Canis lupus familiaris: one gene and its partners. The protein of the gene in region 1 interacts with the protein of each later gene in a pairwise test. Links are inferred from orthologs where the notes say so. Each region holds a gene or a part of one and is shown in the gene's direction. Other genes may lie near its edges.

Region 1 (3,797 bases):
TTTAAGAGTGGGATGGGAAAAAATATGGGAATGGCTACATAGTGTTTTCAGAATTTTGCGCCCTAAGATCAATGTCATCCCTTTGGATGGAGGTTTTAAGTACAGTTTCAAGAGCAAGAATAAGTAGAGTTGAGGGTACTGTGTTAATTTGGGGTATCATCTGAAAGCAAGAGTCTGGTAGCCCAGGGAGAAACCACACACACACACACACACACCTTCCTCCTCTTCCAAGGGCATTTAATTATTCCTCAGGCCTCAAGATGAAGATGCAGAGAGCATCTCAAACATTATCCACCTTTCAGAAACCTGGTTACTCCTCTTTAATGGTGATAGGCCTGAGACATGGAGGCATGAGGCATTTTGAAAGCTAATAGTAACTTATCATTTATTGAGCATTCCCTATATGCCAAATACTTTTACACATTTAATCCTCACATCAACTCTATAGTAAGGTAGATGCTAAAAAAGCTCCATTTTGCTCTGAGAAACTGAGGCACAGACATTTTATTTGCCAGAGACTGCAAGCATTAAGTGGTAGAACCAGATCTCTTTATTACATTTCATGCTCCAAGCCACTCAGCTGCAAACATAATATGGCTGGTTGCCATTTAGAGGTCCCAAAATATCTCTATCCTGCTCCCACCCTGTGCCAGCCAGCCTGACCAGCAGTGAGACCAAGCCAGAAAGGTGGTTGTCTCCCTATTCCATTCCTACATCTTTTATTCATGGCCAGAGGAAAGTTTCCCCTGCCCCTTGGCTCACATTTGGTACATATCTTGTCCCCTGAATAGACTGTAAGCACCTAGAGGGCAGGGATAACTATTTGATAACTCCATATTTATGGAATAGTGTGTGTTGGTTGGCACCACTGCTAGGGGTATGTGTACATGTTTCATGGCCCAATATCCCTGGATCTGAGTCCTCTGCTTCCCAATGCAACCATGCCCCTCCCAGTTCCCATAAGTCTGCAGGAAACTGGGATACAGGGAAGGGTCAAAGCCTACATTGGGGTCCTCTTAGGAAAGGGACCTGAGGAAGGGAGAGGGGCTCTGAAGAGCAAAACCACTTCCTGTGTAGCTAGTTCCTGTGTTGACAGAAAGAGCTGAAGGGGAGGAGGGGAGTGGAGAGAACAGAGCCTGGCCTTGGGGGGGTCTACTGAGCCTCTGGAGACGAGGAGGCCAAGAGTCCTTCCCCACCATGAACCTCCTCCACTACTGCATCTGGAGGAGCTTTTCCCAGTCTCTGTGTTCCCCTGGGGCAAGAGCGGTCAAGCAAGCAGTTTGGGTGGGAAAAGAGAACTGGAGGAAGTTGAAAGGGATGGGCGGGGCCAGTGGGGGGGCTGACCAGGAACCCAGCTTCCTGCTCAGTACCCAGGCATCCAGCCCCTGGCTCACCCCCACCCCTTCCAGCCCCCACTCCCCTCAGGAACCTAGAGTTCCAGCCCTCCTTCCAAATCCCAGCTATCCCTCCCCCATCAGTTTCTCTCCCCCCAGGGGATGGAGGCCGAGAGACCCCAGGAGGAAGAGGATGGTGAACAGGTGAGCTGCGCACTGGGTCGGGGAGGCTAACACTGGGAGAAAGGGAGGTGATGCGACATAGGGCAGAGACGTACTGACAGGGGATTCAGGGGACTTGGAAGGGCTTGGGCAAACTGAGGCAGGAACAGAGACACAGAGAGAGGAAATGGGCTGTTGGCCCACCACTCCCCCGCCTGACTGGACCGGATGTCTCCCAGCATCAAGGCCCCCATCAGGATGAGCAGGACTGGCCCCCTGTGAATGCCACCACTAGGCCTTGGCGATCTGCTCCTCCGTCCCCTCCTCCTCCAGGGACCCGCCACACAGGTACCCTCACCCGGCCAGGGAGCTCCCTGACCTTGGTGCCCACATCCTTCCTGATCCCATTACCAAGGCCATTCCCATCGTGGGCCCTCTCTCCATCTCCTAACTCCCCACTACTCCCCCTCAGCTCTGACCACAAGTTCCTAATCACCTTGCACCACCACCCCTCCTGTCTGCCAATTTCTCTGGGTCTCTGAGCCCTACCCTTCCTTTCCCCAGCCCTGGGGCCCTGCTCCGCCTCCCTGCTCTCCCTACAGACTGAGCTCCTTCTGGATTTGGTGGCTGAGGCCCAGTCCCGCCGCCTAGAGGAGCAAAGAGCCACCTTCCACATCCCCCAGAACCCCCCAAGCATAGCCCCAGCCCCACTTCGGCCTCTTGAGGAGAGAGAACAGCTCTACAGCACTATCCTCAGTCACCAGGTGAGACGCCTCCCCAGAAGGCAAGACCCAGGCTTGCCAGTTCGTTGGCCCTTGTTGTCTTTTGGGCCCTACTCCTCATTTCCCCAGCATCCACCCCTTTGCCAGGCCTGATCCCCTCCATCCCCATCACAGGTGCCCTATAGACCCCTTTCATCAGCCTTGGCTCCTTTCAGGGCCTATTCCTCTTAAAATATTACCGACAACCTCCCTTCCCTCTACTCCAGAGCCAGCGGATGGAAGCCCAGCGGTCAGAGCCTCCCCTACCCCCAGGGGGACAGGAGCTCCTGGAGTTGCTGCTGAGAGTTCAGGGTGGGGGTCGAATGGAGGAGCAAAGGTCTCGGCCCCCCACACATACCTGCTGAGACTTGAGCCCCTCCCCCCCACCAGGCACTCCGCACTCCTGGGGCTCAAAGCTGGGCAGCCCATTGCATGCCCTCTTCTCCTGCTTGGCAGGGGCGCCAGAGACTGAAGGACCTGGGAGAAATCTCAATATTCATCACCCTCATCCACCTTTCTGGGGAATAGAGGGGGTAAAAGTCCACAAACCCTGGGAATAGTCAAGGTAGGATGGTCATTTGACTCCCTTCGCCAGTACACGGCAGTTTGAAGAGGTGAGAGGATCCTAGCCACTGAGGGACACCCCCTCCTCTGATCCCAAGAAGTGGCTGGAAGTCTTGGTCCTGAGCTGTGGAGACACCCCAGTCAGACACCCATAAGGCAGAATCTGAGGGCTCAGGCCTCCATCTCCCTAGAAAAGGCAAATCTCCCAAGGTTAGGGCCTTGAGACACATTAAGAAGGGAGACAGGGCATTGCAAAAGAGACAGACCATCCTCCCACCCTACCACCAGCACCCCCAGCCCCCAGGACTGAGGGGCCTACAGGCTGTGAACCGACACTTAGCACTGCCCACCCCGCCTCCCCACTGCTGCTCGAGTCTGATGTTCTGGTTGTACGAATAAACGTAATTATCCTCTGGACTAAAAGAAGACTGGTGTTGAGGGCTGTGGGGGAGGGGTACGGGGGGGGCAGGAAGGTGAGGCCAGAGGCCGCCTCTCTCCCTAGCCTGGCGAGAGGCCAGCTCCCCTCCCTGGCTGGTTAATTACTGGCTCATTAAGCAGCGGCTGGAGACTTCCCTAATTATACCCCCCCAGCCCCCCTTTCCTGGTTTTAATTAAGTATAACAGGGAGGGGAGTCATTAGGACAAGAAATATGAACGGAACTGTCTGCGAACCCGGGCATTCTAGCGGCCGGAGTCCACGGCACCTGGAACCCCGACTCGGAGCCCCGGCGGCGGCCCCCCAGCCCCGACCCGCGCCGCCCTCCCGCCCCGGCCTCCGCTCCTCTCCCCCGGCCTCCAGCCTCCTCCCCTCGCCCCCTCGTCCCTCTCCCCTCCTCCACTCGGTCCCAGTTCCTCGGTTTCTGTGTGTCTCTCTCCGCCCCCAGCTCCTCCCCGTTCCTCCTCTCTTCTCCCCTCCTCTTCCTCCCCGGCTCCCCTCCCCCAGCCTCCCTCCCTCGCTCCCCCCCTCCGCCCTCCT
Region 2 (4,396 bases), on another chromosome or scaffold:
TCCCGCAAGGCCTGGAAAGTGTGGTGTCGGGGCCTCAAGGGTCCAGCCCCTAAACCTGCGCTTCTTTGGGGGTGTCGGGCTCAGGCCCCCGCAGCTCCCGGGCCGCCAGCCCTAGAAGTCCGAGGCCCACTCGGGGGCCGGGAGCCTGAGGAAGGCCTGAGAAGGGGTCCTGCCGCGGCTCCGGCTCACCCAGGTGCCAGAGGGTCACCAGGTGCCAGAAATCCGGAGCCAAAATCTGCGCAGGGGTGGGTTCGGGCGGGGGCAGGCCCGGCTGGGGAGGCGCTGGGGGTTCGAGGCTCCGGCCTTTCAAACTGCAGGCTGAACAGCCAAGTTACCAGAAAATCCACGCAGATGGTTGGTGCTTGGAAACAACTGTGGGAATGGACAGGAGAGGGGAGGGGGGGACGGGGAAGGGAGGGGGAGGTACCTTCTGCGGGTCCCTGGCCCCCCTCCTCCCCCGCTCCCTCCCCTGCTCCCCTCCCCCCTCCTCTGCTTCCTGGTTCCCCCCTGCGCGCCTCCCCTGCTCCCTGCTCTCCCTCCTTGCTTCCCACTCCCCCCTCCCCTGCTCTCCCCTCCCCTGCTCCCACTCCCTCCTCCCCCACCCTCCCCTGCTCCTAGCTCCCCCGCTCCCTCCCCTGCTCCCCACTCCCCCCTCCCCTGCTTCCCACTCTCCCCCTGCTCCCGCTCTCCTGCCCCCTACTCCCCGCTCCCTACTCCCCTGCTTCCTCCCCTCCCTCCCTGCTCTCCCCTCCCCTGCTCCCTGCTCCCCCTACTGCCTCCTCTTCCCCTGGTCCCCTGTTCCCCCCCACTTCGCCCTCCCCCGTGCTCCCCCTGCCCCTCCCTCTCCCCGCCACCCCCCTCCCCTGCTCCCCCCCCCCCCGCTGCCCCCACCCCCTGCTCCCCGCTCCCCCATCCCCACTCCTCCCTCACTCCTCGCTGCTCCCCCGCTCCTCCCTGTTCCCCCCCCCCCCGCTTCCCCTCCTCTCTGCTCCTTCTCCCCCCGCCCCCCTCAGCTGCCCCCGTCGCCCACACCCCCCAGGCCGGCAGCCCCTTACCCCGGCCCCGCGCGGCGGCGGCGCAGGCTCCCACGCCCGGCGGCCTTTTCCCGGCTCCCAACTTCGGCGCCGCCCGCGGCCGCCCGGGGGCAGGTCGGCTCCGGCCGGGGGGTTCGGGGTGGGGGGGGGGCGCGCGCCCGAGCGAGGGGCGCTGTCCGGGGCACGTGCGCGGGAGCGCGCCCGGGAGTGGTCGCGGGGGGCGGGGCGGGGCGGGGGCGCGGGGGGCGGGGGGCGGGGCGGGGCGGGGCGGGGCCGCGGCGGCGCGGACGCCGGGCTGGGGCTGGGCTCGGGCTGGGCTCGGGCTGGGCTGGGCTGGGCTGGGCTGGGCTCGGGCGCTGGCGGCGGCGGCGGGCGGCGGGGCTCGCGCGGGGCAGCGGGAGTTGGCGCGGCGCTGCGGGAGCGGGCGGCGGGCGGCGGGCGGCGGGGCGGGGCGGGGGCAGCTCGCTGGGGCGCCGGCCCGGGAGCCGGAGGAGCGGCGGCGGCGGCGGCGGCGGCACCATGGGCTGCACGCTGAGCGCCGAGGACAAGGCGGCGGTGGAGCGCAGCAAGATGATCGACCGCAACCTGCGGGAGGACGGCGAGAAGGCGGCGCGCGAGGTCAAGCTGCTGCTGCTCGGTGAGCGCCCCGGGACCTCGGGACCTCGGGATCCCGCGCGGACCCCGCCCGGACCCCGGCCCCGACCCCGGACCCGGCCCCGGCCCCGGCCCCGACCCCGACCTGCGCCGCGCGGGCCCGGGGCGCGTCCTGCGGGGCCCGAGCGCCCTCCCCGGGCCGGGCTGCTGCGGGTGCTCGGGGCTGGCGTCCCGGAGACGCGCGCTGCGGAGCTCTGCTCCAGCTTTCGGAAAGAGCCAAAAAACAAAAAAAGAGTAAGCCAGGGTTTTGACGGGAGGATGCATTAGGAAAATGCCCACAGCGTAGGATTTGTGGATCTGACTTGGGGTTTCTTTTGTTCCCTGCCCCCCCCCCCCCCCAGCTCACATGCACCCTATGGCTACTTAGGCAGGTGCAAGGTTTCTCAGAACCTTCATTTGCCCCAGCAGCGACTGCTTCTGCTTTACACCAGCCATAATAAAAGAAATATTACACAAACCTGTTTTCAGTAAGCTCCTGTCTCATTGGTTTAATGACTGCAGGAAAAAATGGTGGTTTTTTTTTTTTTTTTCTCCATTACTAGTAGGCTTAGAAGCAGCAAACTTGGCATGACTAAAAGTAATAATGATCTGAGTCATTTTGCTAGCAAGCTGTGAAATAACTTTGCATCTTAAAGACCTGCTTGGTTTTCTTCACCCTTGTCCCCAGTATAGATCTTTCTCAGTTAGCGCTGTTTACCTAAGTTTTTATGTTAACAAGAAATACCATATTTGGCGGAGGTCAGTGTATTTTCAGTGTACGGAGCATAGAAGAAACACACCTTGACAGGGAAACAGGTAGGTGGTCCGCTTGTGCTGGGAATGTGCCTGAGACATAAAGGAAACAAAAGGAAGATCCCAAAGTTCTTTCCCTGCAGTTTCTGCACTCCTGCTCTGATACGTCCTTTCCGTGGATTTCCCTGTGACCCCAGTTTTGAGCCAGCCATCCACCATGTTTAGAGCCATTGGAAAAGGAGTCCTCTGCTGTCGTTTGATGCTTTCATTAGATGTCTGTTGGAAAGGGATGGGCTGGGATAAAAGTCAGAGGAGTTGGTGTTTGCTTCTGTTTGGAAGAGGTCGGTGTTTCTCAAACGTTAGCTCTATGGGCGTCTTAGGCTGGGTGGTTCTTTGTTGGGCAGGCTGTCTTGTAGGTTGTGGGATGTGTAGCATCCGTGGTGTTCTCTGGCATCTGCCCACGGGATTCCAGTAGCAGCGCCCGCCCTCAACCTTTGATCCTTGAAAATGTCTCCAGATAGTCGGGAGAGTCCCCTGGGGGTAAAGATTAACCTCTGATGAGCAGCGCCTGCATGGACAGGAATAGCTCAATGGGTGAGGTGGAAGTAAAAGTTGCACCTCTACAACCAGCTATAGTGAGAGTGAGGAGGAGGGTGTAGAAGAGTCATGATTTTCAGAAGACATTATGAGATTTTTGTTTTTCTGTACCAGCAATGTTAGATTTCAGAATGATTTTTAAAATTTTTTTAGGTAACTGGATTCCATCAGCTATGTTTTCTCTAGTGTTTTGCTTTTCCCCTTGCATCTCCTCTCTCTGTAGAAATCCTTTGCACCCCTGTCTTGTTGGCCCAGCTCTCCTCCTTACTCCTTATTTTAGTCCTACTCTACCCTTTTGCCCAGGGTCCCAGCACTCTAGTTCCTATAAACAAAATGCTGGCTTATTTCGTAAATGTTATTCTTGGAATGTTTCAAAACATTTTTTTTTTCCCTAATTTGTCTTTAGCAGTGAAGTTTTGACCTTCGGTTCTTTTTTAGATGTTTAAAGTCAAATGTGTAAGTAGCTCGATGAAATCGTCCCATATAAAACACAACTGAATCAAATAGAAATAGAAAATGGTTTTCTAGGTGGTCTATAACCATTGTCACTTCCATTTATATCAGGTCATCTTCCTCTTAATTATTTTAGTTTTTTTCATTACATGAATTCCATTTAAGGCAAAAAGCATCCAAAGTATATTTAAGATAGTAAATAGTTCATTATATTGCATTTTTAAAAAAGATTTCATTTTTTTTTTTCATGAGAGACACAGAGAGGCAGGGGCAGAGGCAGAGGGAGAAGCAGGCTCCTCCCTGCAGGGAGCCCGATGTGGGACTCATCCCAGGACCCCGGGATCACGCCCTGAGCCAAAGGTCCTGAGCCCAGGACCCTGGGATCACGCTGTAACCGCTGATCCTCTCAGGCGTCCCTGCATTTTTTTTTTTTTTCTTGAGGCATATATGTATCGTCTTTTAGACATCTGGGTTGAGAGATTCAGGTATGAGATGCACATTATTAGTAAAAAAAAAAAAATGGTACTGTCTATTATAATTAATTTTTTTTAAATCATATATTTTACTATCCATGTTAGGAGCAGTGAATTAGGCCTTCAAAAAGAGGGACTTAGTTTAATCATTGACCTAAAGGAAATTAGGTCAGGGTTTGAGTGGTTCAAGTCTTTAGGTTTAGTTTTCAGGCATTGGTATGGGAATGATAATCCTAAATAGAAAAACTTATTTTTATAATGACCGTTTCTTTCCATTAGAGATGGCCAATTGCCTGAGGGGAATACATTTCTTATAGTCATACCTTTGAGGATGTTATGGTCTCTCATTGTTTTAAGGGCTACATCATTAGGTTTTGGCTGTGTTTTCAGTGGGACTATATTGCACATATGGGTATTAATTAAATATTGGTATGATTTTCAAAGATGTAGAGG
Region 3 (3,643 bases), on another chromosome or scaffold:
GTATGTTTGCCAATTTGTGTAATTTTTCAACTTTCCTCTGTCATTTGTTCCTTTATTTAAAATTTTTATCTTTGAAAAGAGAAGAGGGGAATATAGATGTTAGATGAAGTTTCAGAGAAGGATGGGCATAAAGTGTTATTATTAAGAAAGGCAGCTTCTAGAGGAGGGCTATTACTTGGCTGAAGATCTTGAGTTTGACAGCATTAACTGGAGTTCACAATGGTTAGTCTTGTTTTTTGCATACTTTTGGGTGCATGAGTTTTGGAAACACACAAGTATTAGGAGTTTTGGGTTGTGATTTCACCTCTGGTCTGAAATGCTTTTTGCTTGCTAGTTTATTGTCCTAATGACCACTTACGATACAACCAATTGCTCCTTTTCCCTCTTTACTTTTCCTTTACCCAGTAAGTATGGGTATTTTTTTAGTATCTGCATCTTAATAGTTATTTGGAACTCTCCTAAGGCAGATAAATATGAGATTTGAGGTGGGGAGAGCATCCCATGAGATTTCAGTATATGGGGTTTTTTAAAGATTTTATTTATTTATTTTAGTAATCTCTATCTCCAGTGTTGGGCTGAAACTCACAACCCTGAGATCAGAAGCCGCATGCTCTGAATGAGCCAGCCAGGCGCCAGGTTCTGTTCTGTTCCTTTCTCTTCTATCTTGTTTTTAAAGATTGAGACCTGGGTTTGTTTTTAAACTATTTGACAAGTAAGGGTAGGTAGAATAAAGCAAAATAATCAGAGTTCTCATAGCCCTTTTCTGTCCTCTTTACAGTTCATGTTTTAGGTTTAAAAACGTTAGCCACTTATAAAGCTTTTTGACTCATGAGTTTTGATCACATCTCTTTGTAACTTTCTTTTCCTCTTGCTCTTTTCCCCCCCCCCCTCTCTTATTTGAAGGATTATTATTCCTTGGGGAATCTACAAACTGAATTTTGCCCCCAGGGATTTATTTTCCCCCCTAGGCTTCTAGACTTCTTAAATAATTCAGTCTCCTCTTCCTGTTCCTCTGTCTGAGCTGAGGAAGAAGAGAACACTTTCCTTAAACTCCATTAATGTTTTACTCGCTCTGAAGTGTTTAGACTTTACCTCTTACATGCTAGTTTTTTTGTTTCTATTTTTATTGTAGGTTTGTTAACAAAATGGTAATGTGTTACATGTGTTTATATCACAGACCAGGTTTTTTCTGTCAAAAAGCTATGAGTAAGCAGGGTGGAGATATGTAAGCCACTCAGAAGAGATCTTTTTAGGAGATAGTGGTATGTGGTGGGGGGACTGAAATCATTCCTCAGCTCAGCTCTGCACTTCTAACTACAGTGGAATGAGTAGGGGGAGTGACTTCATTGTAAATTCTCTCAGACAGCCCTGCCTGGAAAGATCTCTTCAATACTTCTCTTAAAATAATGAAACATATAATGTGCGTGTCAAGTTCTTTAAGGAGCGGAGAAGCATTCTGTCTCTTAACTTCTTTCTTCAGGATGATGCCCGGCAATTATTTGTTTTGGCTGGCAGTGCCGAAGAAGGAGTCATGACTCTAGAACTAGCAGGAGTGATTAAACGGTTATGGCGAGACGGTGGCGTGCAAGCTTGTTTCAGCAGATCCAGGGAGTATCAGCTCAATGATTCTGCTTCATAGTGAGTAATTTTTCCATAATAGAAAATAATTTGGTGACACTAAGAAAGTTCAGAGTCTGTCCTTGACAAAACCTTAAGTAACAGACACTTTTAGAAGTCTGTTGCATGATTTCAGGTTAGGGTAATTACAAGCCCTTCGTCATTTTGTATGACTTGGAGAACAACATTGCCTCTTGGAATGTAAATGGGAGAATTAGTACCATGAAAAGTAGCTCCATGGTAGTTTATAATAAGTAAGTGAAAGAGGAGAGAAATCTTTTGCAGCTGGATCCTGGATCTCTTCCAATGCAGTTCCTTCTGCATAAGGACTTTGCATTAATTGCCAGCTAGTGAGGGAAATTAGAAATGTGATATCCCTTTTTATGCATCCAACTCTGTGGCTGGCCTGCACTATGGATTTCTCTGGTACTGGTCACCACTAATAAATCTTTGGCCAGATCACAATAGTAGACTTTGTACAGAGAATGTTGAGTCTTAGTAAGAAGTCAAAGCATCTGTTTGTCAAGGGAATTCTGTTAAGTGTTAAATAGTTTGAGAGAATGTGTAATTAATACTTGTGTGAGGCTTTGATGTGCTGATTTTGCCTCTTATACAACATGTGTATATATAAGATCTATATTCTGAATGTAGGTTTTTAATGTGCCTTTTGGAAACTTGGTGAGTTCTTTGTACCTGTATCTATCTCTGTTCTAATTGGAGGCACTTTTAAGTATTAAGGTATTTTCTCCAATATTCACATTTTCCTATCTTTCATTCTTATTTAAGTTGTTGTAGGAAGAAGTTAAATTATATTTGAAAAACTTAGTTATCTTGAAATGAAAACTTAACCTTAGAAAAATTTCAGGATTCTTGCCCACCTTTTTTTTGTTTTTGTCTTCGTTTTTCTTTTTCTTTTTCTTTTTTTTTTTTTTAAATTGGAGTTCAATTTGCCAATATACAGCATATCACCCAGTGTTCATCCCGGCAAGTGCCCCCCTCAGTGCCCGTCACCCAGTCACCCCCCCCCCCCCCACCTACCTTTCCACCACCCCTTGTTCGTTTCCCAGAGTTAGGAGTCTCTCATGTTCTGTCATCCTCACTGATATTTTCACTCATTTTCTCTCCTTTCCCTTTTATTCCCTTTCACTATTTTTTATATTCCCCAAATGAATGGGACCATATAATGTTTGTCCTTCTCTGATTGAATTATTTCACTCAGCATAATACCCTCCAATTCCATCCATGTCGAAGAAATGGTGGGTATTTGTCATTTCTAATCTTGCCCACCTTTTAATATTTTTTAGTTGCATATGTTGGTAGTTTCAATAATTCTCCCAGTAGTCATGAAAGCTAGATTGTTATTATTTTTTATCATACGTTCATTAAGCTCTAAATCCTTCAACTACACCAGAGAACATGTGATTTATAAATTTTTTTTCCTGGGGATCCCTGGGTGGCTCAGCGGTTTGGCGCCTGCCTTCGGCCCAGGGCATGATCCTGGAGTTCCGGGATCGAGTCCCACGTGGGGCTCCCTGCATGGAGCCTGCTTCTCCCTCTCTCTGCCTGTGTCTCTTCCTCTCTCTCTCTCTCTCTCTCTGTCTGTCTCTCATGAATGAATAAATAAAATCTTTTAAATAAAAATATAAAAGTAAATAATTTTTTTTCCATAATATTTGATTGAGACTTGCCTGATTCCTTAACATTGATGGTAGTACTTAGTTTTATAGAGGCTCATTAATGATTCACTTATAATAGTGCTACCTGTTCTTTAGTTTTCTAGCTAAAAACTCTTTAGGAATCTGAAATTACCAAAAATTTAACTTAGCTTTAAAAAAAATTAACTTAGCTTTGAAGCCGTCTTTTAATTAATTCCCTGAATAAATTTCTTGGAAGTATTTACAATATTTTTGACTTAGATTTTAAAAAACCCACAACTTTTTTTTTCCTGAATAAAACCAGAAAATATTCTTATTGAACATAGTTCTCATTTTAATTTTAGTAATTCAAACACCATTCTCTAATGTCC

Evidence for each region.
Region 2: the proteins of GPSM3 (region 1) and GNAI1 interact in binary tests that used the Homo sapiens proteins (3 or more experiments, as listed by UniProt). The two-hybrid records come from large-scale screens. The link is inferred for Canis lupus familiaris from reciprocal best matches to the Homo sapiens genes GPSM3 and GNAI1.
Region 3: the proteins of GPSM3 (region 1) and GNAI3 interact in binary tests that used the Homo sapiens proteins (3 or more experiments, as listed by UniProt). The two-hybrid records come from large-scale screens. The link is inferred for Canis lupus familiaris from reciprocal best matches to the Homo sapiens genes GPSM3 and GNAI3.

What each region holds. Positions count from the first base shown.
Region 1 is NC_049233.1:1,716,109-1,719,905, reverse strand, and holds GPSM3 (G-protein-signaling modulator 3), read left to right. Parts: upstream 1-1,363; 5' UTR 1,364-1,496; coding exon 1,497-1,537; coding exon of another isoform or gene 1,538-1,538; intron 1,539-1,722; coding exon 1,723-1,844; intron 1,845-2,060; coding exon 2,061-2,260; intron 2,261-2,484; coding exon 2,485-2,622; 3' UTR 2,623-2,713; coding exon of another isoform or gene 2,714-2,785; 3' UTR 2,786-3,244; downstream 3,245-3,797. UniProt on the Homo sapiens protein: Interacts with subunit of G(i) alpha proteins and regulates the activation of G(i) alpha proteins.
Region 2 is NC_049239.1:20,150,747-20,155,142, forward strand, and holds the start of GNAI1 (guanine nucleotide-binding protein G(i) subunit alpha-1), read left to right. Parts: upstream 1-1,490; 5' UTR 1,491-1,553; coding exon 1,554-1,671; intron 1,672-4,396. UniProt on the Homo sapiens protein: Guanine nucleotide-binding proteins (G proteins) function as transducers downstream of G protein-coupled receptors (GPCRs) in numerous signaling cascades.
Region 3 is NC_049227.1:42,744,091-42,747,733, reverse strand, and holds part of GNAI3 (guanine nucleotide-binding protein G(i) subunit alpha), read left to right. Parts: intron 1-1,480; coding exon 1,481-1,638; intron 1,639-3,643. UniProt on the Homo sapiens protein: Heterotrimeric guanine nucleotide-binding proteins (G proteins) function as transducers downstream of G protein-coupled receptors (GPCRs) in numerous signaling cascades.